4 linked regions of the Drosophila melanogaster genome follow. The protein of the gene in region 2 interacts with the protein of the main gene of each other region in a pairwise test. Each region holds a gene or a part of one and is shown on either strand. Other genes may lie near its edges.

Region 1 (6,538 bases), on a different chromosome or scaffold from region 2:
TTTCCCCTTTATTATTTATTTTTGAAGAAAACTAGATATAATTTTTTGTTCTCTCATGCATTCGTATATATTTATATATTCATAAATATGTGCTTAATCTGTGTGCTTCATTGCCACTCAGGTAGCCCCTTCCGGTCGAAAATAATTGATGACAAAACGTTTACGTTTCAAGTATTTTTTTTTCATTTATTTGCGCTCAGTAGTTCGGCAAAGAAAAAAAAAAACAAAAATTTAAATTAAACCAGCTGTCGCAGCTGAGGAGCAACCCATGCCCAGGATGAGCACCTTAGTAGTTGGGCTGGCCATAGGGCGCGGGGCTGTTGTACAGTGGAGCCTCGTTGCCGTAGGCATTGCCATCGGCAGAGGAGGCGGCACCGGCGGCGGAGGAAGCAGCTCCGGCACTACCATAACCCTGGGGCTGGCTGTACTCCCTGGGCTGGCTGTAGACGGGTGCAACCACCGGGGCCAGTGGAGCCTCGATCTTCTTGCCGGGCTTGTAGACCTTCACGTAGACGGGGTTGAGGCTCAGCGGAGTGGGCACCTTGTTGATCACCTCCTGTTGGTAGATGACCGAGGGCTTGATCTTGTAGATCACCGGATTGCCGCGCACCACAGTCGGTGGGCCGCTGTTCACATGGGCTGGTGGTGCACCAGGCTGGTGGACAATGATTGGTGGCAGGGGCTGGGTGGCGATCACCTGGTGATTGTTGTGGCCCGATGGCACCAACAGGGAGCGGAACAGATGCTGGTCAACGAACTGTGGCGACACCACCTTGATCTTGCCCTGACGGATATTGCTGGCCAGATTGGTCTCGGCCAGAGATTCGGCAATATCCTCGGAGTTCTTCAGCTTCTGGTAGTTGGGATCGGCATTGAGGGCCTGAAGTTGGGCCTGGACGCGACCCAAACGACGGGCCTCCTCCGGCGTGGGCTGGATCTCGGCCTGTGAGGCGATCTGATTGGCAGCCTGCTGGTTGCCACCAGACGCCACATTCACGTACTCCTCGAGTCCGGCATTGGGACCGGACAGGTACTGTCCATGTCCATGTCCGTGTCCGTGTCCGCCAGCGGGACCATAGTTAGCGCTCACCAGCTAATGAGGAGGAGGTAAGAGAGAGAGAGAGAGAGTTTGCGAGATTAGCGGGATGCCCAATGCGAATGCCATGGATAAAAGCTACTAACCGGCGTGGCGGCGATGGCCAAAATGCCAAACCAGAGACCGAGTTGCATGTTGCCGTTTACGTGTGGATCGTCTACTGCTCGCTGTCTGGCGATGACTCCGGCTCTTTATAGCGCCTATAATCGCTGCCCGCCATGGCCGGCTACGTGATCCATCTCCATTTCCGATTTTGCGCCGCATCTTTGTCTCGCCATCGTGCCCAGATCTCTAGACAACCAACCTCCTATGCACCTATGCACCGTGGTGCACCACTCTGCTTTCCGCTCGTCGCAATCTTCTATTTTTTGGCAGTTGTTTCCCTTGGCTTGAATCATAGCTCTTCCAAAGATCGAATATGATGCCAACGCTACGAGAGTCTCGTTTTGGTTGCCTTGTTGCGATGATTACAGCTGTGCTGCAATCTCTCTGCAATCCTTTGGGTTTGAAGTTAATATCCTTTATATGTTTTTACATTGCATTTTAACTTGGGACTTATACTGAAATGTGTACATAAACATGCCCTGCAGCAATGTTTTTTTTTAATCACCCAAATTTAAAGATGTTATCTATAAACTGATAAATATCTTACGCTCGAGATATATGAATAGATAATTTTTGTAAAAATTTCCGAGAAAGATATACCATGTAAACCATATTAGCAGATTATATTAGATATATAAGTACATTTATAACCGCATTCAATTCGATGCAGTTTTAAGCTTTAAGTTTGTGTTTATTAGCCATATAATTAAATTCAAAGGTATTAAAGACATTTAAGTTATTCCTCTTAAAAGGCATCTTTATTTTTAAAAATAAAATGCAACATTCTTATATTTTATGATTTTCGGTGGATTGTTTCGTCTCAATGTGAAATACAGTATCTTATATTTAAATCATTTGTTATACCTAAACTTATATAAACATTGTTACTAAAAACCTGAGCAATGAAAGTTAAATTGTTGATTCAATTTAAACTTGTAGAGTAGTGTATTATGAGTCACTGAAATTTTTTTCTTGATAAGCTCTTAATTCAATTCAAACACAACAAATTTTTGTATATATATATATTTTTTTTGTATTAATTTTATTATTTTTTTTAATAATTTCCTTAATCTCAGTGTTTGTGTAGTTCGTGTTGTGTGTAATGTGTTGGCGTGTGTGTATGTGTGGTGTGTGGTGTATGGTGTGGCTCAGTCCCATTTATAGAACTCAATGGTCTGGAGACCGCAAGTCTTTGGTTTGACGTGGACATGGATTTAGCTTCTAGAGACCCCGCTTATAAAGAAGGTAGGTGAGATCTCGTGCTGGTCGACTGCCGTAGTCATTGAAGGGTGATTTGAAGTTGAGCTGACCGCCAAAGGAGTCAAACTCCTCCTCGTGATGTTGTCGATCCTCTCCAGCTGATTTCATTGGCGAGGGATTCGATTGCTCGGCGTGCAGCTGATCTTCGCTAGAGTTGATAATATAACTCTGCGGCTTGTAGTTCTGCTGCCCATAATTCTGAGGCATTGCATACGTGTTTCTGTGCGGTGTGTGCTGTGGGTATTGTGGTTGTGGTTGTGGTTGCGGTTGCAGTTGTGGTTGTGGTGCATAGTGTTGTGCATGCTGTTGGGCATAGTTATAGCGTTGCTGGGCAGGATGCGATTGCTGGGTCTGCTGATGGATGAGATACTGCTGTTTCATGGCCATGGCTCGATTGTCGAAACCCTGACGATAAGCTGGACGCGATTGGTGTGGCGCAGGTAGAGGAGATGGAGGCTGGACTGCGCTGCCAGGTCGTTCGGCCCCCGGTAAATACTCGTGATGCACCTCCTCGTGGACACCGTTCTGGGTCCGGTTAATCAGGCGATTGTACTCTTCGTTGGTGCCGCCCACCTGCAGATGGATGGCATGTTTGAAGTCATCGCCCAGATGCTTTAGCCAAAAGCTTTCGTCCACTTCGCCGGTGGTGTAGATTCTCGTGGTCTGTCCACTTCTGGGCTTGCCCATCACCGTACCGGTAGCTGTGGCCACATCGATCACATCGTACTGCTCCCGATCACCCTTATCGTATGGCTCAACGCGAGCAGCCAAGCGATTGGTGGTCTCTTCCAGCGGCGCACCCGGAGTTGTGCTCACATTGTATTCCTCATCGGGGCCGGGCGTGGATTCACTTAGATTCTGAACGAATAATGAAGAATATACAAGCATTATTTATTTATTGTATAAACGGAGTGTATATAATGAACCCACCTCAGCGTGAATAATGGCCTGTGTTGAGACCAACAAGAGTAGTATAGGCCAACTGCCGTCGGCTGCCATTTCGACTGAGGGCCCCGGCTCCCATGGAATCCATTTAAATACCCACAAAAGTAGCTCGATTCGGTTAAAAAATAAAATGGCGTGCCGGGACGTGATCTATAACCAGATATGCCATATTCACTATTCACTAAATGTCTCATCCACGAATCTCCAGCGATCTTGATGCGTCAGAGAGAAGAAAAAAAACAAAAAAAAAAAAAAAAAAAAACTGTGAGAAACACCAAGCCAGGGTCATTCGAATTCTTTGGCACTAGTCAATGGGTTCGCTTGCAATAATTTAACGATACTTTAGTTGGTTTTTTAATGGGTGTATGTGCCATTAATTGGATGCTGTAAAACATTGTTGACATGCCGAGAATTACAAGGTCTTGGGATTACATCGCATTCGATTCTACAAAAATCGCACAATAAACTATGTTACTAAACACCCTACTTCTTTAATCAAAGGATAAGTGAGTAAGTCTGCCTGACATATTTTATAAAATTCTAGTCTGAAACGATAGATTAATAACCAGTTATTGCATTTTGCATACTATACATTATTTATTATTACTTAGTACCTATGAATCTTGAGTATTCTTCTAGAAATGTTTTGCTCTTATGGTCACGAAGTTCAGTGAGTTTTTTGTGGCTTTCGGTTGCGAGTATCTTTTGGCTTTTCAATAGTATGCAATCGCAAGAATTTTGTCGCTGAATGATGAACCACCACCACCATTTGTTTATGTAGAACAATAAATATTTGGCCATTAACAGATCGTGATCGTATGCAAATAAATCATATATATTATATATACTGGCTCTTTAATGATAAGTGAGCTTACTAAGACTAACGACTAAGACTAAAAAACAGAAGAATTGTGTTAGGTAAATAAATGCTAAAACCCTTAATTATTTATCAAAGTAATATGCCATTAGGCTATTATAATATTTGAAATGCTTAGGATTAAGAGCTGTTCATTTCGGTGGGCATACTTTTAGGGGTATCATATAGCTAGCTCTTTCTATGCCAAAGGTGCACCCAATGGAACCCCAAATCATCGAATCGAGCACATTTTAATCAGGCAAACACTTTATTAACCAGTTAATTGGGGCAACTTCTTGAAGTGCCGACAAAAGCGGAAAACGTAAACAGAAATCGGAGGTTGGATTCATAACTTCTATAGTACACGTAGATACATATATATATATATATATGTACATATATACAAGCGAATGGAGACCCGAAAGCGGAGTGCTCCACTGGCCTACTTTCGGCTGGATTTTAAGCCGAGCTCAGCAGATCGATGGGTTGGGTTGGGTTGGGTTGCATTCGGTTTGGAGTTTTGGTTTGGGTTTCGGTTTTGATATTGTTGGTTTATATGTAAGATCTCTCTTCAGTAGCCGTAGCCCGCGTCTTCGCCGTAGCTGCAAAGAGAAGAAAGACGAAGACGTTGGGTGAATAAAGAAAGAAACACCACAATGTATTTTCAATTTATTATATTCTGTTTTTTTTTTGTCTTTTGTTTTTCTTTTTGTTTACTTTTCGTCTATGATTTTCTCTGTTTTTTTTTTTTTTTCGTTTAAACTAAGTTCTAAACACTATGTATTTTATGTTGGTTAGATTGGGCACTAGAACCAGGCCCTCAGGTAATCCGTAATGGGTGGCGCATTATAGGTGTCTATACTGTAGCCATTTTGGGTTTGGCTATTATAGCCATAGGTCTTCGCGGGTTGTGTGGAGTAATCATTGTGTAAACTGTGCTCGGTTTCCGATCCCTGATCGAAACCCCAGCCGCCCAGCCGGCCATCGATGAGTTTCTTGAGAAAATCCGTCGTCTGTTGCTTTTGAATTGGCTCCGGATCGACCAGACTGCCCTCGGTGGAGTAATGATCGTAGGCAGGATGATTGTACACTATCCCGGAGATAATGCTGTCCAGTTGGGAGTCGGAGACATGCTCCACGGGATAGCCACCGCCGAGACTCGTTAGTGGTACACCATAGGATCTTCTTGTAACCGATTCCAAATCACCGGCAAACTGTAACGGCGTGGAGCTATACTCCTGCGGATCCGGCACAGAAGTGGTGGACAACAGGCTCCTAAGCTGCGAATCATCCACGAACTTGTAGTCCTCCCGACGGCCCAATGGCGAGGGAATCTGCAGGGGATAGTAACCATAGGCGGCCCTCTTGGCGGGAATCGAGTTGAGCTGCTCTGGCGGTTCCGTTTGCACAGGCTGCGTCGTTTGAGGCACTTGCTCCTCCTTGGGCATTGGCTCTTCTGGTGGTGGTGCCGATGCTGTCATCGCTCCACAGCCCACGTGACACTGACCGGGCCTAAAGTCCGGATTCAGAGTCTCGGGCATAAACTGGATTATTTCCGGCGCAGTCAGATCTATCTGGGATCGTTCTTGTTCGAGCAGATCAAACTCTCCCTTAATATCTCGCTTTTTCAAACGCCTTCCCAATCCCATCCAGCTCGGCTGGGTTTTCTTCGTCTTTCTCTTGGTTTTGGGTGCGGCAGCCACTGACTCTGGTGATTCCACGGGAAAGAGGCCAAAAAGTTTAAGCTGATGCTTCTCCTGCGCAGGAGTCAAATCCTTGTGATAGAGCTTCACAAAGCGTGGCGGACGCTCCTGGATCTTTTGTTGGCGCATTAGCCGACGGCGGAGCAGTGAACCTGGCTGGCGAACATCCCGGCGACGACGAATGGCATTCGGCGACCTGACCGGTGAAGCTACGTACCTGGGTTTTTGGCCGGAGCAACTCGAGCAGCCGCATGTTGACTTGTTCTTGGCCTGGCAATCTGTATAATATAAATCATAGATAAAGTTGTTAGAGGAAAACATGGAGAAACATGTATATAGAGAAATGTCCGCCCAAGAGAGAGAACTGTCCGCTTAAGAGAAGTTTTTCATGAAATCATTGGTTGTTTTGTTTGCACTTACCCGCTTTGTTGACTGTGATCCGGTCCACCTTGGCATACAGCTTGGCGGGATTGTTCTTGGGCGGCGCCGGTGTCCTCGGCTGCTCCACAGTGAAGTCAAAGCTGTAGGTAATCTTGGCTTTCGTCTGGACGGGCTTCTCCACCCGATAGCCGT
Region 2 (8,062 bases):
TCGCCGCAACGCTGCGGGGATCCGCGTTCTAAATATAGCCACTGCACACGCACGTTCTCTGTTTTCCGATTTTCCCTAACCATCTGGTCTCCCGTTTTAGGTTAAAGCTGCTGGCCGAGCAGTACCAAACGAGGGAGCAGCACCTGGAGAAGCTCAATGAACAGGTTCAGTTGGAGGCCCAGCTGCACCAGGCCAAGCTGCAAAAATGCCAGGTGGAGGCTGCCATGGAAAAGGAGATATTGAGCAAGTATGTGCACAACATGCCGGGTCATCCGGCGCTTCTCTGCATCTCGCGATAAACGGACCATAGATGGTCACACATTAGAAAACAAGTTTTTATTTAACAAACTCGCTGAGATTACTGGTTTTGATTGAGGACAGCTGAGTGGCTAGCATATAATTCATATTACTCGGTTTGCTCTTCACTTGATATGATTTAGTCAAAGCTTAATCCACACGAAAAATATCTAAACTCCACATTTCTTTCAGGGAAAACCAGATTGGCCTGGAGAAACTGATGCAAGCGCAACGTGCCATAAAGGATCTCACCGATCGGGAGCACCAACTGAAGGAGCAACTGAACATATACACCGCCAAGTACGATGACTTCCAGCAGTCGCTGCAGAAGTCCAATGAGGTTTTCGGCAGCTACAAGGTGGAGCTTGAGAAGATGTCCAAGCACACTAAGAAGATCGAGAAGGAGGCGCTGGGCTGGCGGCAAAAGTACGAGAAAGCTAATGCCATGGTGATCGATTTAGCCACAGAAAAGAGTCTGCAGACGCAGCACTCAGAGCGCCTGCAGAAGCAAATACAGCAGCTGCAGAAGCTACTGCGTGCTCTACAGCTGGAGAGGACAACACTGCACAAGTGCCTGCGGGATCACGAGATCGAAATACCCGCCCTGCCGCAGTTGCCTCCTGAACCAGAGCCAGTAAACGTCAAGCCAGTTAGTGCTGAAAATGTTAAAATGGAAATGATGTCTCGCAATTGTGCGGAACTGAAGCAAACATTGGCAAATCTGCAGAACCAAATGAAGCTGCTAACGACGAATGAATCGAAGACTTCCATTGAGGAAAAGAAGAAGGCCGAGGAGCAGCGTCAGGCGAACAATGCCAAGAAGAATATACGCAAGAAGGAGAAAAAGTCCAAGGCAAAGGCAGCAGCTGCAGCGGCGGCGGAAGCTGCAGCATCCACAACGAACGGTGAGGCGAACGGCGTTCAGGAATCAGCCGCAACGGAGTCAAAGGCCGAGCTAGAGGCAGCGGGTGATGCCTCAAACGTTAAGAACGAAAAGGAGCAGACCGTTGACATTGCGACAGACACCCAGGAGCTCGTAGGTGATGGCGACGCTATCACCGCAAAGTCACTTGTTGATATATCCGAAGTGCCTCCCCTAATCGATGCCAATGCCAACTAAACTACTGACTGTTCGCCTATAGTCCCATCTCCAAATCTCGGGCGGCCACCAAGCCTTCCCTGCAAAGCATTTTGTGTCATCCATGTCTCAACTGAAAAACGTCATCAATTACAAACCTACATGGTCCGAATTTTGTACTAGTTATTTATTGTACTTTGTATATTGTATTTATTTAAAGGATGTCGTCGGTGATCGTGTATTGCTGTTCAACAACAAATTGAGTAAAACGTGTTTCCTGCAAACAGAATAAGAATATTAAAATTATTTCTTTGGGTAAATATTTGCAGAATGTCCTTCCAAAAGATTTAAGCATAAATCTTAGCCCACATTTCGCATCAATTTGCATAAGTGGAGTGGAATGGGAAACTGCCAGAGCGCACAAGCTCGATGGCCATGGATTGCTTTCGTCATTGTTGGCGACGCCACAAAGTCTAGTGTTGCATGCAACACATTGCAATGCCAACAGGCGAACGGATGGGGGTGGCTTCAACGGTGGTGATGAGTGGTGAGTGCCTGCGGTTCGTGGCCAGGGTCATTATAATTGCGCCTTAATTATTTTCAACACGCAGCTGTCATTTTTGCCGGGCCCCAGATTTCCGCCATCAAATATTTAAGACGCATGCAACGTGGCGTATGCGTAACGCCAACTGCTGCCAGCGGTCACTCGGTGCGGGCGAGGGTGTTGAAATAAGGCCAGTTAAGTCACTAAAATAATTACACAAATTAATTTAAATTGCATAAAGAGGTGCATACGAAAGAAGGACTAATTATGCCAGCTCTCAAGGCAACAACTGTTTTTACCCCTTTTTTCACAGCATGTTTTATGTACTGTACCCTATATTGTTAGGTCCCCGAGCGTTCTTCCATGGTCATTAGAAATTTAATTAAAAATTTTGATATTGTTAGGAGTATAGGGAATTCTATTTATTTCAAGCTTCTTCCGCCCGATTGCCCATTAAGCGGTATTAAAACTGTCTTCCCCTCGGTGCCAAAGTGTCATACTTGTGCATATTTCACACCCTCGCTCGCATTCACAGAAATGTGTGCACATTTCGCAGGCAATGAGCTTTTGAACATTTAATGAGTTAATACGCTAAATTTGAAAGCCGCTCAAGCGTGCGCCAAGTGCTTCAAACACTTGTCCCCATCCCCGAGCTGCCCATTTTCCAGCTTGAATAATGAGAATGGGGGTATCAAGCCGCTAAATCCAGCACTGAAAAATTTTTCATCAACTTAATAGAAATGTGTTTATTTTTTAATAATATACATTTAGTTTGTAAGATATGTGAAATAAAATAATTTCGAGTTATTTATGAGAATTATATACGAATAAAAGATCAAAAAAATAAAACTAAATTTTTCTCAGTGTACGCACACACGCATATGCAAAACACTAAGCACTTGTCATTTGGCTGTAAACCCTACGCGTCCGTTCGTTGGTATAAAAAAAACAGTGCAAATGTCCAACAGACGAGCATATGTACATACATATGTACACTATAGGTATGTGCGATGTATGTACATATGTACATATGTGCGAAATGGAGGATTGGTTGGCTGTCGTGGCGTCGTATTCATCCTGAACTCATGGGTGTCATTTCTCAGGACCCTCGCGGTCTGCAGGATAACAGCAGCGTAACAGAAGAAGACCCTCACTGGGGACCAGGACCAGAAAAGTAGAGGCTGCCAGACTGCCTCACTTTTGGCGTTCAAGTGAAAGGACGAAGTCGCCGACACTGGTGTGGCAATACTTTTGGCAGCCAATTGTGCGGGCTGAGCAAGATGAATGAGGAATATGAGTGTTGCTTGCACAGTGGGCTACTTTCAAGGGTGTTGGAAGATTCATAACTATCTTAAAGATGCTTTCAGCAGTACTTCTTATGTGCGAGATATAAATTCAACAATTTCTAGATTTTGTAAATAAATATTTCCTTCTCTTATCCAAAATCATTTATAATAAAATAATAATTATTTTATTATAATATACAATATAATAATAGTTGTCATGAATTTAAATGTCACAAACAGGCTGTCTTTCATTAGTAACATATTTTAAAAATTACTCATACGCCACGTTGTCAGTCAAGTAAATATATTTGCCATTTAAAACAGCTCTTCCAATATTATTACAATTCAAACTAATTATATGCGTTATGTGGCTACTTAGTCCACTGTAACCGCCGAGGGCTATGCTATACCCTATGTGCCGCCCGCAACCCAAGTGAGTGCGCACCCACTCTCCGGCGAACTCGCTCTCCGTCTCCGGCGGAGTGGCTCCGGATATTTCGGCAACAGAAGCCTGGCTGCGATAGCCGGAGATTTTCCGAGCGAGGGAAAACCGAATGCCGAAGCGTCGCTGCTGGCAAACATTTTCCATTTTCGCAGTCCTGTAATCAGTTGTGTATAGGACACTCGCGTGCGCGCGTCGAACGGTTTCTGGCTTTATTTGTGGGAAAAGTGTGTGTCTGACGGCGAAACGGTAAACGGGGAAAACGCTGCGCGGTTTTTGCTGCTATCGAGTTCTTCTTTTGCTGGATTTTATATATGGAAACGATTGTTGCTGCTGTATCATTGCAGCTTGCAGCTTTAAATTTAACTTAAATGCTAAAACATCGTTTTGAAAAGCAACGCGAGAGTTAGACAAACAAGTTGGAGGAAATTTTCCAGCTACAGCTACAGCTGCTGCCTCAGCCAGCGTCGCAGTCGCTGTTCGAGATAAAGGATATGCCCGGATCTAAAAGATACAGTTTTTCCTCTTGTTTCTTTTTCCGCTGCTGCTGCTCGTGCTACATTTGCTGCTTGGCATTTTCCGCACAGCAACAACAATCGTTGAGACAGGACCGCAAGTTTTGCTAAAATGTAACATAACACCAAATAAGCAGAGTTAGGAAGAGTGAGCGCCAAATAATGCAAATAAATGAATAAGCCCAAATCATTAACAAATTAAAACGAGGCACGCAAAGGAGGGCAGGAAAATATAAATATCGAAAGGAGTCAAGTCAAGTGCTTTCGAGGAGCTGTTTGCTGACATGCTTTGAGGTTAATACCACCCACCACCACCCAACCGCCCACTACCACCCATCTCAACCATCAGCCATCACCAACTCCTCCTACCTCCCTCATCTCCGTTTTGGCCAATTTCTCCGTCTGCTTTCGCCGCTTTCTTCGTCAACGCCGCTGCTGCCGCCGCCGCCGCCGCTGCTGCCGTCACCATCAAAAGGCATCGAAGGTAAATATATATGTTATATTTTAGCCGAGTGTGTGTATATAAGTCAATGGGCCAACAAACTAACCTACAAAGTAAACAAAAGCGTTACGCTACAAATGCAAATTTTTCGCACACATGCTCAAGAACTATAAACAACAACTCATTTAACTGACGCCATGCCCCCATAAAAAAACCAAAAACAACGCAGCTTAAGACTAGAAATGAAAAAAAAAAAATGGAAAACAAACAGTGAAAAGGTGGAAATGGCACGGCAAATGAAACACAACAAAGCAAAACGCACGCTTCTAAAGCTATTTGTATAAAATTTTAATCGCATGCGATTTATTTGACTAGGCGCCAAAGTCGCACGCACGCACACCATCGCATTTTCGCAGAGGCACCCACACACACACACACGCAGGCTAGTGAAAATTCACACACTCACCTTGAAAAATGCGAAAAAACAGTCTGGAATATTTTGTTTATTTTTCGCAAAATTATGGAAAATATTTATGGGCTCTATTTGAAGTTTGAGCTGTGCCAGGTTTTTCATTCAATAATTGAGGAAAATAATGAAAATGTTTAAAAAACGCATCAAAGAGTATTTTTGTGAGATTATATTTAAAATTGGATGTGAGGCTTCGATTTACTATTGAAATGTTAATTTTCATATTTATTTAAACAAATAAGAATCTGTGTTTGAAGACGCACCTGGCTGCAATTGTTTACTGTTTACGGCACTGTGAAAATATATTAAATTGTTCATACATATTTTTAACTTTTGGCAGAAGTGTCGACAACTTGTTTATAATTTTCCAAAATAGTGAAGCTTTACATATGTTATTTTTTAGCATTGCGGTAATATATGGGTGAGAATCGAATATACTAACATATTCCTTGAGTATACGATTTGTTTGTTTTATTTTCTTTAACAATATTACAAAATGAATTATTCCCAGAAGTGGTAAAACTCTTTTTACATGGCGTTTAAATTGCGTCATTAAAAATTCCCATTATTCAACCCAATTTCCGTGTCATTTAATCCGTGACAAGCTGTTAAAAGGAAACAAACAAACAAAAGTTGTGCGCAACAATTGATAAGCAACAAAAGCAACTATCGTGCCGCTTGGCAATAAACCATAAAATAAATGCCAATTCCATTTAGATGCACAAGCCGATTAAAAAGTCAACTTGGCATAGTTTTCCAACTCGTGCGACATTGATTCGTGATTGATTTGGTCATATTGTAATCTAATTTCACCGATTTGAAAAGTAACTTCAAGTAGTGTAAATCACATTATGTAATTAATCAAATATATGGAGATTTAATATATATATTTTAAGCGATTTTACACGACAAGGTCCTTGCCAAACTAAATTCGCTGTCATCTATTTATATAATCCCTGGCCAACTATTTTAAGTGCTTCTAGCCGAGAAAAGCTGCATCTGCATCCTAAGAATAAAATGAACTTGGTCGCGGGAAGCTGGATGAAAAACACTTAACGCGCAACTAAGCGACAATTGTTGTTTTGTGTGGCATTTAAAAATAGAATCAAGGTGCGCTCTAGTTTCATTCATCCACACACAGAGACATCCCCACTCACACACACGGCGCACACACAGATACAGGTACAGAGCCTACATAAAAGTGGCTGCTGTTGTTTTGCAAGTGGGTGAATGCGGGGCAAAGGGGCGGTCGCCGGGATGTATGCTACACGAAACTGTAAATAGAAAAGTTATAAATAAAATTCACACGAGCCAACATTGAAAAAATGAACTTGGAAACTGTAAAAAATAAAATAAAATATAATAAAAACCTGGTGAGTGGACGCCATATAATGGCTGATCATTCAAATATTCAATTATTGGAATGAGCATCGATGACAGCACACAAAATAAATATTGGTAGATGATATATGTTAAATTTAAACATTTTGTGCAGCACATCTGGGCACTATTACTTACCGGTTAAAGGTCAAAACACCTTGGCCTTGGCCAAAAGGAAACTCTAAGGAAAACGCAAAGACACGCAAGGCAATACCAAACGAGAACCGCAGCTGTGAGCTGCAAAGTGATTCAACGCTTTTCGGCTATAAAGTGCCTAATCACTTTGGGTGTTAGATGTGTGGGCCATTCAATGACACTGGTAATTACTGGCCCAATCGAATGATATTGTCTTGGCCTAAGTGAGTAATGAGCAAAGGGCGTGACAATCGCCAAACGTCCAGACCTCGTTGAATAATTAAGCCTGTTCAAACGAACTGACTTTCAGTTAAGTAACTTGCACCAAAGGCCACACAAGTATCAAGTTACCAAAGAATATTATAATAAAATACCAAAAGTGTTGTTCGCATTTAACTTTTTTTAAGTGAAACCATACATTTGCGTTAAATATTATTGTGTTATATTTTCTTCGTACATAATATAACCACGAACCATTTAAAGGGCTTTAAATATGTATATGTAAGCATTTTATGCCACCAAAGGCAACCGCAAGCCATTCCCAGCGTGAACATCAATTTGCTAGCATTTGGCGACCATTAATGGTCAACTTATCGTGGAAAAAAATACTCCTCCTCCCATGGTTAAAGCCATAAAACATGCGTGTGCAGGCATCGGGTGTGCTACATACACACATATGCAACAGCTAGGAAAAAAAGGAATCGTTTAGCTTTCAAACAGCAACAAACTTGAAATTTATATAGCCAACCGCCAGATGTGTCTATAAAACTTGCACATCCCCATTCATCCCATACGAACATTCATTTTACGGAGGTTTTTCCAATTTTTTTCTTTCTTTGTTTCCCTCTTATATTTTTATCACCAGCTGATAAGAGCAAAGTTTGTCCGAAAGTTAGCGCCTGTAGCCGTAACACACATACGCCATGTGTTACAAACATCCGATGGAAAGCAAGAAAGAAAAGAACGAAACGAAACGAAATTACCCGCAATTTCAGAAAAGTTAAATGTCTTTGCAGCCGAGCATTTTGGTAACATTTTTTAATTGCCCCACTGGGGGATGGGCGGAAATCCACATTTACAAGCGAACATATGTTGGTAACATGCAATTAACAAGCCAAGTCCAAGCACTCTGCTGATGAGTAGATAGCTCGTGCAGGTCTCGACTATCACATACCCGGTATTTCTCTATCTATAAAAACAAAATGATTCCATTCTTGAAACAAATCTTTTTTTCGTATAACCATACTATAATAAACATTCCTTCCATAGTTAAATCATACACTAGGTTTTTTGAAGTAGCCTATTAAAAAGAGTGGCAACAACTATGCTCAGCCACCCACGCGGACCACTTACAGGCATTAATTACTATGTCGGGCCTGCCAAGTCAGCAACGAGCCACGAAAAGTTGAAGGACCAACTGGAAAAAAATATTGCATACTTTTCGGAATTTTCCCCCCAATTTGGGCAGTTTCCA
Region 3 (7,912 bases), on a different chromosome or scaffold from region 2:
ATCGCAAGTTATGGCCCGATGCTTCAGGTAACTGACTTGTGCTCCTCTTTATTTCCTCCCCTTGACTACTTCAACGTTACGTTGTCAAAAATTTTTGTGAAACATGTTTTCGAGGATGCCAACAAAAGAGCCACTCCTCTTTTCATATTCAAACTACGGCTGGCACTGAAAGAAATGCTACTTGCGTACCTTTGGACAGCAAAAGGTATTAATAAATCAATTAAAACATATTCATTATAGCATCGGACATTGCCTTTTGTGGTTTTATCATTTGGCTGTCTCAACTTTCACCCATACGAAATATGGCCCATTAACATGTTCATCAAAAGTGTCGCATAAAGGTGTGAATTGACCCCAAATACCATATATGGCTTTATAAAATACCAACTAAATATGTTTATGAAGAGCTCTAACTTAAAGCTCCTAAAATTTCCTTTACACTATCTCTCCATTTGTTTCAGCGAAACTTTAAGCGAAAACATCACCAAGTTTGTTGCTGCAACTCAAGTAACAAATTAATTTCCCCGGAAAAGTGACACAGCGCACATGAAAATCTTGTGATGGGGGGCATACTAGTATACATATATCATAGCAGGTGAAAGGGAGCAGTGTAGTCATGTTACGCGTCAGGCTGATTAGAATATAGCGACGAAAGGCTGCATAATTTATGCGGCCAAAAGAAGGTCTGCGGGTCAAAAGTGGAGCTCAACTTGTTGCCACAAAAACGGGAGGCGCCGCGTCGCGAAATTCTAATGAAGATGTGGAGTGCGGACCAAAGTCATTGACAAACTGTGGCTGCACGTGACCCGGGTATGGCTATGACAGGTAGACATGATGGACTCCTCCGCCAGTTGGATCCCTAACCAAGGGACAATGGAGATAAAAGGCGGCAGGCACGTGACAGGACTCCAGCTCTGGTCCTGGTCCTCATTATTGAATTAGTTACGAGTATAAAATGCAAAGGGATGAGGGCAGTTGGGGGTATATTTGTAATTGTCCGAAATATAGTAGAGTTTCTTTTATGGCCAACCAAGTAGGTTGTAATCCATTTTAATATCAATTAAGCACGTATAGTCGTATATTCGTTTTCCGTTTCCCTATGCTTGTGTGCTTAGGACAGTTTTTCATTTTGATTGGCATTTCAATAAGAAATTCCATCGACAAACCCGTCAAAAGCAGAACAAAATCTTCGTACTTATCTCTCTCTCAAGGAGCATCGCATCTTCGTTTTAAACCCATTTTTTCAGGTGCTCTGCCGGCAAAAGCTTAATTATAGCCAAGTGAAGCTGGCTTTCAGCCAGCTAATTTCCGCTGCAAGGCGGAGACTGTTTGGCCAAAAGCCGAAGCCGAAAATGGCAGAAGGAGCTGTGTTCGCAGCTTGAGGCTGAAAAGCAAGAAGTGGCTGAAAAGGATTTCTCGCACAAGGCGAACAGAAGATGGCGAATGAGGAGGACGCCTGTCGACATCCTTGACTGCACTTGACTGGCACAAAGTGCCTTGTTTGTTAGCCAACTTCGAGGGCATTTAAGCCGCAGCGCAACAGGTGGCAGGCCAGAGAGAAAAACGGCAAAGACGGGGACGCACTCTGATTGAGTTAGTTAGTTGGCCAACTCCGCCATTCCTGCCTCACAGAGACTTTGCCACGCCAAATTTAACAGCAATTGCGAAACTTTTAAGCCCCGAAAGAGACGAATTGCAACTTCCACATAATTTGCAACCAAAATTTGTCTACCAAAACTCAAGGTAAGTGAAAGGACACAACATGTCCAATGAGATGGATGGGAAAATGAAATGTTTTCCCTTTTTAGCATATGACAAAACGGGTTAAGCCGGGGCAATTTGAAATACTTGGGGTCAGTCAGACGTTTATAAAATCGTTTCCCCTGCGAGAAACACAATTTTCTGGTCGTAAAATTAAATCAAAATTTGATAACTGAGAGAGAGAGTGGTGGAGTAATGCCCTCACACTCAACGTATATTTTATTTATATGCAATCAACGGACAATATATCAGTTTAGTTAATCTAGTTGAGGTCGCTTATCGACAAGTTTTTGCCCCAGCTGATATTTATAAAACACTGATAATGAGTTTTACCGCTTGCCAAACGGTTACACAAAGATTTTTTGTTTGCCTGGTGGCAAACAACCCACTTTGGGGTGTTAATTAGCCGCACATGTGAAATAATTTGGTTATCCTTTAAATTTAATTGGTTTTTTGTATGGCTATCTGGGCTGGGAGCTCAAGTTTCGCTGTGGCTTTTATTTACAGGATTTATTACAAGAAAGTCAAAGGTTGAATATGAGAAAGAATATTTGAGATAAGAAAATAAGTAGCGCCTTATCATTTTCTTTAATTGAAACTACTGCTTAAGAGCTAACTATAGTTTGAAAACAAATTGTTTATGGGTAATATTTTTAAATGGTTTTTAAGAATCTTATTTGTACCGGAAAACGATTTCTTTGCTTAATGAAGCCAAAAATTGAGGGCCGCGTCACTATAAACGCCCATAACCCACAGAAAAATGAAACAAAAAGCGGGAAAATGGGTTTGAGTTTGAGTTTGGGTTGCAGGAAGAAGGGGGGCATTCAGGCATGGAAAATGCACCAGCAGCACAAGCAAAAAACAACAACAACAGCGTCAGCGACAATGCAACAATGAGATCGCTTATCAGTTGGCGTCTAATTTACGGCAATGAGCCGCCGCGACGACAGACTGACTATGCAGCACCAGCAGCTTTAATCCCATACGGAAAACACATGTATCTGCGAGTATGTTAATCTGCATCTCCAATGGATGCGTGTGTGTGGAGATTACGGACAGCATCGGCTTTAAAAATATTTCATCCTGAACTCTCTGACATTCTGCCGAAGTTTTTGGGGCAATGTGAAATAATCACTTTAGCATGGGATTTAGCTTAGTTCATTGATAACAAAGTGTGCCTATTTTAGTTTTGTACACTTTAAGATCACTCACCTCGAGTCGAATTTCTTGCCATCGGCCTGCAGAGTTCCAGTGTAGTGCATGGTGAGGGAATCGCCGTTCTTGGACTTTTGTTCGCACACCTCCGGCGTGCTGATCACCTCCACTTTCAGATCCTGAGCCCGGACCAGGCTGTTGCTGATGGCCACCAGCAGAAGGCACGAGATAACGAGATTGGATTTCGACATGGCTGCAAGATAAATGGGCAAACTTGATTACCACAAAACGTAAGAGACTTTCAAAAAAAGGGGAACGTGTTTATGCACTCGACTACAAGGAGTATAGTAAACCTTATAAAGAGTTTAAGATTTGCTAATCCTTAAAATTAACTGAGTTCGAACTACAGACGATAAGATCCACTAACTCGAAACTAAACCGAAGCACCAATGTCTTGCTCGGATTGATGTTCATCACTTTTATACACACAGATTCATCATCACTATCATCTACTCGCCATCATCTTCGTTTTAATCGCGTATTAGCGTTGCACAAGCGTTAAATGATGAATTTAAGCCAATTACCCGGAGAGGTGTAACAGTTGTTTGCTCAACAGTGTAAAGTTGAAATTGAAATCGTATGGATGGCGAGGGGTATTCGCAGCGATTGCGAATGGGATGCGCGAACAGCAAAAATTAGTCATTATGCAAATGTGCAATTCATTTTCGAGTGGGGAACCGAATTCGACCAACCAACCAGCTTTGACCATCTCGACCAGCTGGAGGGGATTATGCAAGCCAAGACCCAAAGCCAAGCGAAATTATTGCGCGTACGCGGTGGCGTATGCGTAATGACCATCGTAGTCATTTCCAATGGGATATGTTGGTGGGTGTTTCTGGTTAAATGAAAGTTTTGAAAGCGCCTAGGTCACCCAAATATAAAAAAAAAGAAGCGAAAAAAATTCGAATAGCCGTAAAATAAAAAAACTAATAAGGCAAACAAAAAATAAAATATGGTGGGTCTTTATATAGTCGGAAAACTTTCACTAATGGAAAGGCAATGGTCAAGCCTCAATTACGTGAAATCGGCATTAACATCTCTTGATCTTCCTCTTCAACTGCTCTCTTTCGCTTCTGCTTCTTTTTCCTTATACAGTGAAATCTCAGAGACATGAACACACATATGCCTTACTTTTTTGCTTAAGCTTGAAAATGATTAATTACACTAATAAGTTCATATGCTATGATATGCAATTGTTACAGTTAAGACCAAGCTGAAGCCAGAAAATCCACAGATTTAGGGACTAGAAATACTTCAAATACTATAAATAGATAAGACGAGATGGCCTCCTGTGGCTAATAATCCTAAAATCACATTTTCAAATATATTTCAAAATCTTTTTTTTCAGAAGCCGCTTCACTGTACTGAGCGTCCACTTTTTGGCCTTAAAACCTGTTGGGCGATCCAGCTTCTTCGTTTACACACGTATCTTTTTGTTTCAGCTTTTTTTTTGTGTGTCTTTTATGAAAGGTTCAGTGAACTGGCGGTACGAAGTTTACCGTAAGCGATCCAATTTACAGACCGGCGCTAAATGTTTCGGAAAATCTTTTCCTAAGCGACACGTCAGGAGTTTTCCTCTTATTTCGAATCAGAAATGCTAATTGCTGACCCGAGCCGATCTTTAGCAACAAAAGCAAGAGCAAATGACCGGCGATATTTTTTTATTTTTATTTTCATGGACTTGTAGCGATAAGCTCTCTTTCTCCTCCTCCATCATTCGGTTTTCTTGGGGCGTATGTGTGTGTATATATATTTATTTGTGTATGCATGTGTGATGGCGTGGACTGAATATGAATGGAAGAGACACGACAGCAATGGCAAAGTACACGCTTTCTTTCGATTTCTCGATTTTCATTTCTTAATGAGCACATTTCCAAGATGTTTACGCTAAGCCAAGCACACGATTTACGATCTGATATCTGTAATATACCTTTGGTCTTCCACAGACGGATATCACTCGATTCCGGCGAAGGGGCGGGGGCGGATGCGGCGGGCGAACAACAGAAAACACGCGAGCAAACGGCGGATGTGAAGTGCAAACACGTCCGATTCGATCGAAGTGCGGGCGAGAAATGCTGGAACCGAAGCCGCCGACGTTGTTTTACTAACCGCTACTTCTACACTCAGAAACATTTTTGTGGCACTTTGCAAGTTAGACCAGATTATTTTGTAGTTTAGTTTAAAATCTTATTTATATATATTGCATTCCTCCAAGTTTTTCATAAGATTATAGTTTTTTTTGTATTTCAATGTTTTTTTCATTATATTCCCTATCTTTTTTTTGGGTGCACCCCTATATAAAAAGAGTGGAAATCTTCAGAGAGACCCGGAAAGTGTGAGCGGGAGGAGGCGGGGGATCGTGATCCACCACCATCCACACGTGTAAGAGTACGAGAGAGAGTGAAAGATCGTGTTTTTGTAGAGCCAAAAGAGATTCACATACTGTGGGAACGCGATCCACAATACGGGGGGCAGAATAAGAGAGAGCACTTGTCCACGTAATCAAGCAGAAACTTGTTCAGGAGCGGATCAGGCGGACTTAGGTTAAGACACAATCAAAGGTGTTCCTTATCCCAAATAAATTAGTTAATATGTAAGATTAATTTTTTAAAATTTAACTTTAAATTTATGATTAATCAGAACTTACAGGAACAATGTAATACCGAAATGTATTCCAAAAAGTTATTCATTTTTTATTAAGCTAATAATCGTTTTGAAAAATGTAACAAAAACGAAAAATATATGGAACACGAAGGACACACAACCTATTCAAGCAATTGCTCAAGTTTAACTAAAAGGAGTTTCCAAAGAATATGCCGTAGTCTACATGTTGCTGGCATCAAAGTTTAAGCAACATTATGCCTCGCCTACTTTTTCTAGTGCGCAGGCGCCTCTTTTATTTTATTTGTGGGTGGAGCCTGATAAAGAGTTAATTTAATGATTGGCGAATTAAATTCGGCAAAATTATGTGACATTTTCTTTTGTTTTCATACTCTAATTTAATTTATTACAGTTTATTTTTAAACCGTGCTTGATAATTTTGTACACTGGTAGATTAATACGATACGATATAATGAAAACGATTAATATTAAGTGTGCACATATGTTGTCAAAATCAATTTAAAAATTTTTTAATTCCCAATAAATTTTTGGAGCTGAGCTTCAGCATTGTATCTGTGAATATGCCAATGTTCCCGTCAATAGCATTCAATAGTTCGCTGCATTTAGTTCAAGATAATCTTTTCCAACTAAAAGCTTTGGATGCTCAGCTCAACCGAGCTTAGCTTAAACTAAACTAAGCATATATTCTATCTATGGCCACTCCTATGGAATTGTCACCCTTGGCTCGTTTACGCCCCACTGAGCGCCGACGAGCGATAGATAGATCGAATCAATCAATTAAATGCAAACTGCCCAAATTAATTGAAAATCAGTCGAAATCTGAGGCACTCTCTAAACGGTCGTGTGGCGTGTTGGAAAAAAAAGGGCGAAATATAATGCTGCACGGCGATCAAGATAAGCCCAAAATGGCAAAACGATCTGTGGGATACGCCCTCAAACGCAGGAATGATCGTTTTGTGGTCGAGCCCATCGAGGGAATCGTGAATCCAGCCTACGAACCCGATCTTGGTGGAGATACATCCTCAACCAGTGACATCAATCGAAAATGGCAAGTATAACAAGCAATAAAGTTTTCGGGATGGGCTAATGTGAAGTGTGTGTTGTGTTATTCAAATTATTGCAATCGAATAAAAAATAAAAAACATTTAATATTGTTGGCAGAAATCTAAATTCTAAATCTACTTACTTCTATTTAATATACTTTATAATCTGCTATTTATTTTTGTTAAATTTAAATTAAGGTTAACAACTCTAACTTAAGCTAGAAACCCTTTACGTGTTTAACCTTGGGCCTCTTAGCTGGCGGGGCACAGGGATAGTCCTCGATGATAGTATTCTGGCCGGGCAGCAAGATAGAATACTCGCGGCCAAATTCAACAGGCGATTCCTTTTTGGGACTCAAAAGGCGCTCTCCGATGTCCTGATCGGAATTAAGGGCTGGAATGACTGAATAGTTCGCTGTAGTGGCGCCATATAGCTTTGGTAGACTTGTACCGGGAACCATGTCGGGATTTCCCTCGGTCACCTCGTCCTCAGTGGGTACCACTGTCTGACTGGGCAATTGTTCCAACCAATTGGCCATGCGTTGTTCAGGTTCCAGCTCCTTCCCCTTTATACGCTCATCGAACATTTCTCTTGTTACGTCTCGTGTGGTGTCGTACTCCTCCATATCCCACACGTCCAGCAAACGGGTCGACATCATGTCCGTGTAGTGGGACAGCTTGTAAGCGGATTTCTGCCAGGGACCGCGACTGATGCTCTTCTGCTTTTTAACATTTCTCTTACTGGCAGCTTTCCTTTTGGGTTGCCGTTTTGGTTTCACCTTGGTTTTTTTCTTAGGCGTTTTCTTACCACCTTTCTTGGATTCCGAAGGTTCTTCCTTTACCTTTTCAGAGGCTGGGCTTTCATCTTCTGAAACATCAGTATCTTCTATGCCATAGTCAATTTCGATTTCCTCTACGATTAAAGGTTTTTCTTCAGGTTTTGATCTTTTGGCACCATCTCGAAAGATGTCTCTTATCTCTGGTATCGACTGGACTTGTGTGCAGCGGATGTTCTCGCGTTGGACGCGCTCATTAACGGCATTGGCAAGGTAGCGAATGGCTTCCGTTGTATGAGTTCCGGTTCTGATCTGCTGGACATGCTCCTCTTCATCCCTAAGCGTTAGTCTTTGGCAGTAAACATCTCCCAAGCTGTTGGAGGTTAGCAACTGGGTAAAAGCTTGATCACTGGCCCCCTCTAAGCCAATAAAGCGCATTCCTGTAATGCAGGTCGTTACCCGCTCTGCTATATCAGCATAGACATCCACAAATCC
Region 4 (8,038 bases), on a different chromosome or scaffold from region 2:
CTGTGAATTTTCCATCGCAGCCATTGCGTGGGCCCGCCTTATTATGGCGGCTCGACTTTGACTTTCTCTTTTTAGCCCTCTCGAAGCGGAAGTCATTTTCGCGAAAATCGAGGGGGGCGGGGGGTGGAAACGGCGGGCAGGTTGAACACAACTGCAACTTTGAGGCAAAATGCGAATCAAAAAGAAATGGACGCGTTTCCAGATCATAAAGGCAATTTTATAGCCTGGTGGGCATTTCAGTTTTGTATTTTTATTGACAATAAGTTAACAATGTTTACGTGTTTAGTTGGTTGTTGTTGTTGTTTGGACTATTTTTGAGGCATCACAACAACCTCCTGACCGGACCAAAAATACTCGGTGTTTTCCCAACTGCTTCGAATTTCCCACATTTCCCCGCGATGATTTTCTTTTGTTTACAATTAGTTTTTTCGTTCTTTTTAAATTTGTTCCATCGGCTTAATGAAAAATGAGAAATATGTACTACTGAGCAGAGAAGCGCGAGAGAACGAGAGAATGGGAGAATGTGAGAAAGGGAGAGTGGGTGAGAGTCTCATTTTCTCTGCGCCTGCTCATAGGACCCTTGGGCTTTGGATACGGGCTAAGGATGTGGGTCTCGGTTTCGGTTTCGGGCTAGCGTTCGGCTTAGGCTGTGGGATCCGGACTGGGATTGGTTCGGATTCGGGTTTGGGTTGGTGTTTGGATTTGGGGATGAGGAGGGCCTTTGCCCTCGCCGTCGGCCCAACATCAAAAAACATTTCGCCATTTGTCTCTGGGACCTGTAAAGATTTTCTAATTTTCCTTGTACTTTTCACTTTTGCCCGTGAGTGTGTCGCCGCGCTTAAGTAGGGTTTTATGTATCCTCCCACTAGGAACAAAATTGAAGGTGTCTCCTCGAGTAAGGTGTCTATTTGGCAAGCATTTCAAAGAAACTAATTCGCATTAGTGGCACCTTTTCCCCCCATGAAAATTAAATCGGTTTTATACACGATTTATTTTCAATCGTCAGAGCTCTATAAATATCTCTGCTGCAATATTGATCCCACACCCAGTGCACTGCATTTTGGGTCAGCAGATTTATCATTGCCAACGGGTAAGCTAATTATGCTTATGTTATTATTATAATAATATTAAAACATCGAATCATAATCAAATTTGTTGCTTTTGAAAACAATTATTCGGATTAAATTTGCACATGGACAGAAAATCTTTCACATATCTTAATAGCCGATTGCAATAATTATTTAAAAAACATAAATTTGTAATTGAATCATAAACATCGCGATGTTGGCTATAAATTCAAACAAAGGCATGCATTAAATGCATTTAATTATTCGCCAACTGATGCATGGACAATTAAAATCATCTCAATTTGGAAACGGAGTAAAATAATTTCAACAATATTTGTTTGCATTGGCAAGAAAAATATTGACCAGCTTTCAGCATCCTTCGCATATTAATTTTTATGTAGCCGCAACACACTGCGTATGCTTATTATTAATTCAAGCATTGCCCATACGTCATGTTGTGCCAGAGGACAATACAAGAAAAGGCCGAATGCGTCGACAGCAATTCGATTTCAAGGTGATTTATTATTTAAATTTCATGTTCCGAAACAAGTCTGGGCAGCAACAAGAAGAAGCAAGGGTTGCTGGAAACTGGTAAACTCAATGGCACGTGCACTTGGAAAAACTGAATCAAAATAACATGTATTCCATATTCAACTATTTGATCCTTACACTTGTTATTTTGGCTATTACCTTTTATTATTATACCCACATCATTTGTGTGATATCTATGTAATCATTATACAATACGTATACTTCTCAACCGTTAAAGTTTTTCTCAAATTCATAGCTTACACAATATAAGAAAATGTTGGGATTCGGGATGTTCAAGGATGAAACTTTGGAGTTTCCGCCGTTGTTCGCATTAATTGCAAAAGACATTAAAACTTTATAGAGTCGTGCTTATCAGTTGGCCAACATCGTCAGCTGGAAGAGCTGCAATGTAGCGAATCCACCACCACTAGCACCGAAAAACTTTCGTCCTGATGGCCATGGCAAGCAGGACACCAAGAGCGGTTCAAAGGGATGTGATGATGCGGGGCGTCCAGTGGACGTGCAAGTGGCCCAAAGAGCCAAATCCTGGGTCGCACTGGGTGGATGGTGCGGCTAACAGCGATGGGGTGGTGGTTGCTTGGTTGGATGTGGCCAATGGCGTAATTTATGTAGGCCCGCTAAGCCTTTTCATGCGTAAAATGTGTTTATATCTGCGTATAAATACGCGTACAACTGTGACCACGTACGGGATTGTGTACTATATGTGCTTATTGGGGTGTAAGAGATATATGTATAGAGATACAACCAGGGGTAGCAAAATAATTTGCGGTCGAAACAAAAAATCTTCAATACTACAGGATATTCGTGATAATTATTACTAAGATCTTCAAGAGTAAAAGCACTTATTTCTATTAAGATCAACCCCATCGATTTGAGGTGAGGTAATAAAAGAACCGCATTACGGTGTCCATGTGCATTAAGCTGCAATAAAAGTGTAATTTTAAACCAATGATAACAAAACAACAACTACTGGATGTGCGGCAGCTGCTCTGCAACTGCGCTGCAACTGCGCTGCCTCTGCTGCTTTAAGCGCGTCATCAAAGAGACACACACACACATAGAAGAGAGATAAAGCCTTTGTGTGTGTGTGCGCTTGCATCGGTGATGCTGGTATTAGTGCAGCTTTGTTATTGCGCCAAAAACCAAGCCAAGGATTTTTCACACATTTACGCCAACAAATGGACTGCAGCTGCACTGGGCAAAAGGATAGTACATAAATTTGATATCTGCATTATTATACTCATTAATATCGGGAAAATAAATGTTAGGTTGCAATCCAATTCCGGGATTCTACTTCAACATTTTCAAATGTTGGGTTTATTTATAAGATAAGAAATTTATTGTTAAGAAACACATCAAAATCCCTATAAGTTATATGATTATATTTGAATGAGAGAAATACTACAAAAAAACTATGTTCATATGTAAGTAAAATGTAAATGGGAGCACTACAATCTGGCTAACAGTAAAAATAAATTTTAAAGGAATTATTGTTATGCTTTGAAGGAATTTTTAAAGAAATATCGGAAAGCAACGATTTTTCCCAGTGTCCTGTTTGCTCCTGGCTGCCTCGCTCTCTCTTTCTCTCCTACAGACGACCTTCACTTTCGTGGGACCGACCGTTATATATTTTGTGTGCCTAACGCTTTTTTAACGTGTTATGTTGTTTCTCTATTTTCGCTGGCCCGCTGGTCAAATTAATACCCTGAGTGGGTGGTGCGTGTGTGGAGAGGGGGGCTGAGGCGATTGTCGATTTAAATAGGCCAACTATGCAGAAAAAACAACTTGTTGTTGGGCTGCAGGCACGCCATAAGGTGCACTTAAAAAGCGTGTTTTAAAATGAGCTAACCGCATGGCAAGGATATGGGCGGTTTGAACTAGATGTGAATTTTCCACACTTATTTTCCCTCTGGTTTTCTGTTATTTTTTACGGCTGTTGTTGTTGCTGAGAGAACGAGCGCTACAGCAACAACAAAAACAACAACAACAACAACAGCAACATTCGCGGATACACACATTTTCACAAATCAAAAAAGCAAACGAATATTGCCACACAAACCCGTACACAGAGAAACACACTCCCACACACACACATACACACAAATGAACAAGAGAGACAGACAGGGAAAATCTCTCATTTTTTATGGATTTTCTGGGAAGGCAATCTGCTTTCGCTGATGTTTGATTAAACAATTGCTTTTTATACTCCTGTTGACTATCGTCCATCATCTGCCCGCATTTCGCTGGGAAATTGGGGAAAACTGTTTACACATACATACGCACGCCTTTCGTTTTATTGCATTTTACACTTCTCGCCTCTTACACTTTTCCCACCTCATCCGTTCCTCCTTTCGTTAGCCGCACATTTTCCGCACTACTGCGTGTACATTTTCCACGCTTTCGATCCGGGAAATTCGATGCTGGCCCCTGTCTGTTTTTGGAAAAACAATTTTTCTGACACTTTTTCAGCCTTTTCTGCACGCACGGGGGCCACAAAAAACTTGGCCCAAACTGCGTCCCGCTTTTTGCTCCGCTCGGCGTTTTCTTGGGGGCGTTCAGACAAACAGTTTTCGACAAACTGAAAGTGAAAAGTAAATGCAAAAGCGCCAGCGCCTCCGACAGTCGGTAGTTTCACTCGGAGCATGCGAGTCCGAACCCAAATCCGAACCAGAATCCGGGACAGCAGCGAGATGCTCACGGCGTCGGCGCACTTCGACGAGCAAGTGGTGGCCACTGGCCTCTGAAGACGATGCAGAATCGAAACAGATGTTCATGTTGCCTTCCGAATGAACTATGATCAAATATTTATGGCTAATACCACATATCAATGGATTCATATCAAGGATATCACAATTCAGTCGCAGTCGATAGCCATGCATTTTTCACAGGATCTATAGTTTATTAGCCCCTTACCTGTTACCCACACTTAGCAAACCTTTATACTGTTTTGAATCGAATATAATCGAAAAAGAAAGTTACTTGAAACCGAATTGTATCTCCAAAATGTATAGTTTAATTAATTATAGTTAATTTATAATTTATTTATAAAAACATGACCAAATCTTAATATTAATTTGGTTCACCCAGCGCACCCAAACATGATTTGCAATAAATATGTTTTATTTTTGATAATACAACATTACAAATATCACTGAATATCTATCAAGGACACGGCTTGTACACATGCTTATGGCAAAGTGCTTTCCAAGCCAAAAAATTCACTAAAGATTTGGCCCTGCAAACATTTTCCATTCCATAGTTTATGGGCCAATTGGGATAATTATGAATTTTTTTAGTTGAACGCACACATTCAAATCAAAAATAAAAATCTAAATTTAAAAAGAAAAATTTTCAACAATCTTCAGACCAACTGATTATTAGCAAAATCTTTTAAGGCCAGTTTTAGCCAATCTTCTTTGGAAGTGAAAATGGAAGCCTGGCCAGTTCTAATATTACTAGGCGAGTGAGGGATTTCGGAGTGATTTTCTATTTGGCGGCCGGAGCAGATCCTTCGCTCTGCTGAGAGTCATTAAACTGTTTGTGCCACTCGAGATTCATCTTTGTGACGGATTCTCCTTTCTTGGCGGCCTGCTTGCCACTGTACACCATAATGGCGCATCCCACGGCGGTGAGTGCGATCATTATGTTGGCCAGGCGGATGCGCATTTTGTTGCGGCAGCGCTCCATGACATCCTGACTGCAAGTTTTGACACCAAAACTTAGACACCTGTTGCATTTGCTCTCTAAGAATCGGCACTTACCTAACGAAATTGGGAATCTCGGACTGCGACTTGTATTTGCCGGTCCAAACCAACATACGGCGCTCCAGATTGTTTGGCTCGTGGTTCTTGATCGTCTCTCGCAACATCTGACTGGTGCCGAAGGATCTACGCACCAAGGCGCCAATTAACCCCGTTTTGCTTAGCATATTGCCTTTTTTAATCGTTTCACAAGTAATCTTGCAAAAGAGAATTGGAATTTTATGCAATTCGATTAACAGTGGTTGCTAACATAACAGAGCTGTCACACGGTCGATAACTGTGAAAACAGCTGGGATTTCTTTGGTCACCCTGAGAGACGTTCACACTGTACAATGAAGTGATTGAAAAAATGAACAACAAACTAAACTAAACTGGAAATTCTTTGTTAATCAGGTGAAATTTTGATGGTGCTAAAACTGCTGGAAAAAATAAATCTGATATTTAAAAATATATAGTAGGGAAAAATATTAGAAGTAAAGCAGTGTGACCATCTCTGAAATATGCTTAGTCGACCCAGCAACGGTCACTCTGCTATCCCCTTTAGTTTTCGTTTGCGGTGGAATAAAAGTCGGAAAAGTCAATTAAAAGCCGACTGCCACACGTCCAGAAAGCGAATTTGCGATCAAGGTCAAGATGAGCGAGTACACAAGCATTCTGCAGCGCGAGTTTCCCAAAATCGACCACGAGCTGCTCACCTATGTCGTTGGCGTGCTCACCGGAAGTAAGTGCCTTGCACTAGCCTGTGATCTTTTATTCTTTACCCCGCACACAAATTCCAATTGCCAGGCGAGGAGGACTTCGAAAGCGGCGATGACATCTTCGAAGCGGTGGGCGACATCCTGCAGAGCGTCGACTGTGATAGGTCGGAGGAGAGTGTACGTACGCTTTGCGAGCAGTTCCTCAACATCATGAAGAACAACGAGGTCAACGTGGAGCGAAAGGTTCTCAACGCGCCGGTCAACATCGAGGAGATGGCCAAGAACATGGAGCGGCTGGACAAGGATATGCAAAGCATCTGGGTGGCCAACAAAGATGGCGCCAATGTAAGTGTTCCCCTTGACGAACCACTCCAATAAACTGAATGAACGGCGCCATCAATACGACTTTCATTAAATAACAACTAAACTATTCTTATTTTAACAGAAAGTGGACTCCAAGAAACTAGGAAAGGCGGAGGCCAAGCTGCAGCAGAAGCAGGAGAAACGGCAGGAGGTGAACAAACATGGTATGATTCCTGTTGCGGTGAAGCTACAAACGGCCACAGCCTCACAGGTGACCAACAAGAAGAACACCAAGCTGGATCAGAAAGGTCTTAACCGATCCATGGACATCAAGATCGAAAACTTTGACCTGGCTTTTGGCGAAAAGTGAGGCAACCTAACTGTCGAAATTGAGCAACCGAAAATTATTGTTAATTCCATTTAGAGTTCTTCTGCAGAATGCGAATCTGCTGCTGTCTTACGGACGCCGCTATGGTCTGGTGGGACGCAATGGCCTGGGCAAGACTACACTGCTCCGCATGATTGCCGAGCGACAGCTACAGATCCCTTCGCACATATCGGTGCTGCACGTGGAGCAGGAGGTGGTTGGCGATGACACACCAGCAGTGGAGAGTGTGCTGGAATGTGATACTGAGCGAACGAGACTTCTGACCCGCGAGAAGGAGATTCTGGCTGCCCTTAACAATGGAGTTCAGGATGCGACGCTGTCCAATGAGCTGAGCGAGACCTACGCCTCTCTGCAGAACATCGAGGCGGACAAGGCTGTGGCCCGCGCATCTGTGATACTTAAGGGCTTGGGATTCGATGCAGATATGCAGCTGCGTCCAACTAAATCCTTCTCAGGCGGCTGGCGCATGCGTCTTGCTTTGGCCAGGGCACTGTTCTCAAAACCCGATCTGTTACTGCTCGATGAGCCGACGAACATGTTAGACATCAAAGCCATTATTTGGCTGGAAAACTATCTGCAGACATGGGCCACCACCATTCTGGTAGTTTCTCACGATCGCAACTTCCTGGACACGGTGCCGACAGACATTATTCACCTACATTCCCAGGAACTGGAGGCATACAAGTAACTATTACAAATTACAAAATGTAGCCTAATTTAAATATAAATTGTTTTTTCCCCAGGGGAAACTATGAACAGTTCGAGAAGACCAAGACGGAGAAGCTGAAGTCCCAAAGACGTGAATACGAGGCCCAAATGGCTCACAGAGCTCATGTCCAGGACTTCATCGATCGCTTCCGATACAACGCAAACCGTGCCTCGTCTGTGCAATCCAAAATTAAAATGCTCGAAAAGCTGTAAGTACAAAAATATAAATTAAAATAATGACTGGAAGAAATTTAAAACATCTACGTTCGCTTTGCAGGCCGGAACTAAAGCCAGTGGAAAAGGAGACTGTGGTCACGCTCAAATTCCCCGAAGTGGAACCCCTTAATCCTCCCGTGCTGGCCATTTCGGAGGTTACTTTCCGTTACAATCCAGAAGATCCACTGCCCATCTTCAAGGGCGTCAATCTCTCAGCCACATCGGACTCTCGAATTTGCATTGTCGGAGAAAACGGAGCGGGAAAGTCGACGCTGCTGAAGATTATTGTCGGTCAACTGAGCACTATTCACGGAAACATTGTCCTGCATCGCGGTCTTCGAATTG

Evidence for each region.
Region 1: the proteins of CG5890 (region 2) and Cp7Fc interact in a two-hybrid assay, tested with the Drosophila melanogaster proteins (one large-scale study listed by BioGRID).
Region 3: the proteins of CG5890 (region 2) and Fkbp14 interact in a two-hybrid assay, tested with the Drosophila melanogaster proteins (one large-scale study listed by BioGRID).
Region 4: the proteins of CG5890 (region 2) and Shal interact in a two-hybrid assay, tested with the Drosophila melanogaster proteins (one large-scale study listed by BioGRID).

The regions. Positions count from the first base shown.
Region 1 is NC_004354.4:8,474,049-8,480,586, reverse strand, and holds Cp7Fc (chorion protein c at 7F), read right to left. Parts: upstream 3,471-6,538; 5' UTR 3,461-3,470; coding exon 3,392-3,460; intron 3,320-3,391; coding exon 2,423-3,319; 3' UTR 2,267-2,422; downstream 1-2,266. Other genes in the region: Cp36 (chorion protein 36), read right to left, coding at 287-1,093, 1,183-1,230; Cp7Fb (chorion protein b at 7F), read right to left, coding at 5,069-6,243, 6,386-6,538.
Region 2 is NT_033777.3:25,852,328-25,860,389, forward strand, and holds the start of CG5890 (uncharacterized protein), read left to right. Parts: upstream 1-3,826; 5' UTR 3,827-4,646; intron 4,647-8,062. Other genes in the region: CG5886 (uncharacterized protein), read left to right, coding at 101-247, 490-1,417.
Region 3 is NT_033778.4:21,492,158-21,500,069, forward strand, and holds the start of Fkbp14 (FK506-binding protein 14), read right to left. Parts: upstream 5,054-7,912; 5' UTR 4,907-5,053; intron 4,618-4,906; exon of another isoform or gene 4,476-4,617; intron 3,368-4,475; exon of another isoform or gene 3,170-3,367; 5' UTR 3,168-3,169; coding exon 2,974-3,167; intron 1-2,973. Other genes in the region: CG46395 (uncharacterized protein), read left to right, coding at 6,474-6,656; TAF1C-like (TATA box-binding protein-associated factor RNA polymerase I subunit C-like), read right to left, coding at 6,860-7,912.
Region 4 is NT_037436.4:19,580,369-19,588,406, forward strand, and holds the start of Shal (shaker cognate l), read right to left. Parts: upstream 4,201-8,038; 5' UTR 3,954-4,200; exon of another isoform or gene 3,943-3,953; intron 1-3,942. Other genes in the region: CG9231 (uncharacterized protein), read right to left, coding at 5,106-5,316, 5,381-5,547; CG9330 (uncharacterized protein), read left to right, coding at 6,014-6,101, 6,167-6,423, 6,524-6,747, 6,806-7,453, 7,513-7,686, 7,755-8,038. UniProt on the Drosophila melanogaster protein: Mediates the voltage-dependent potassium ion permeability of excitable membranes.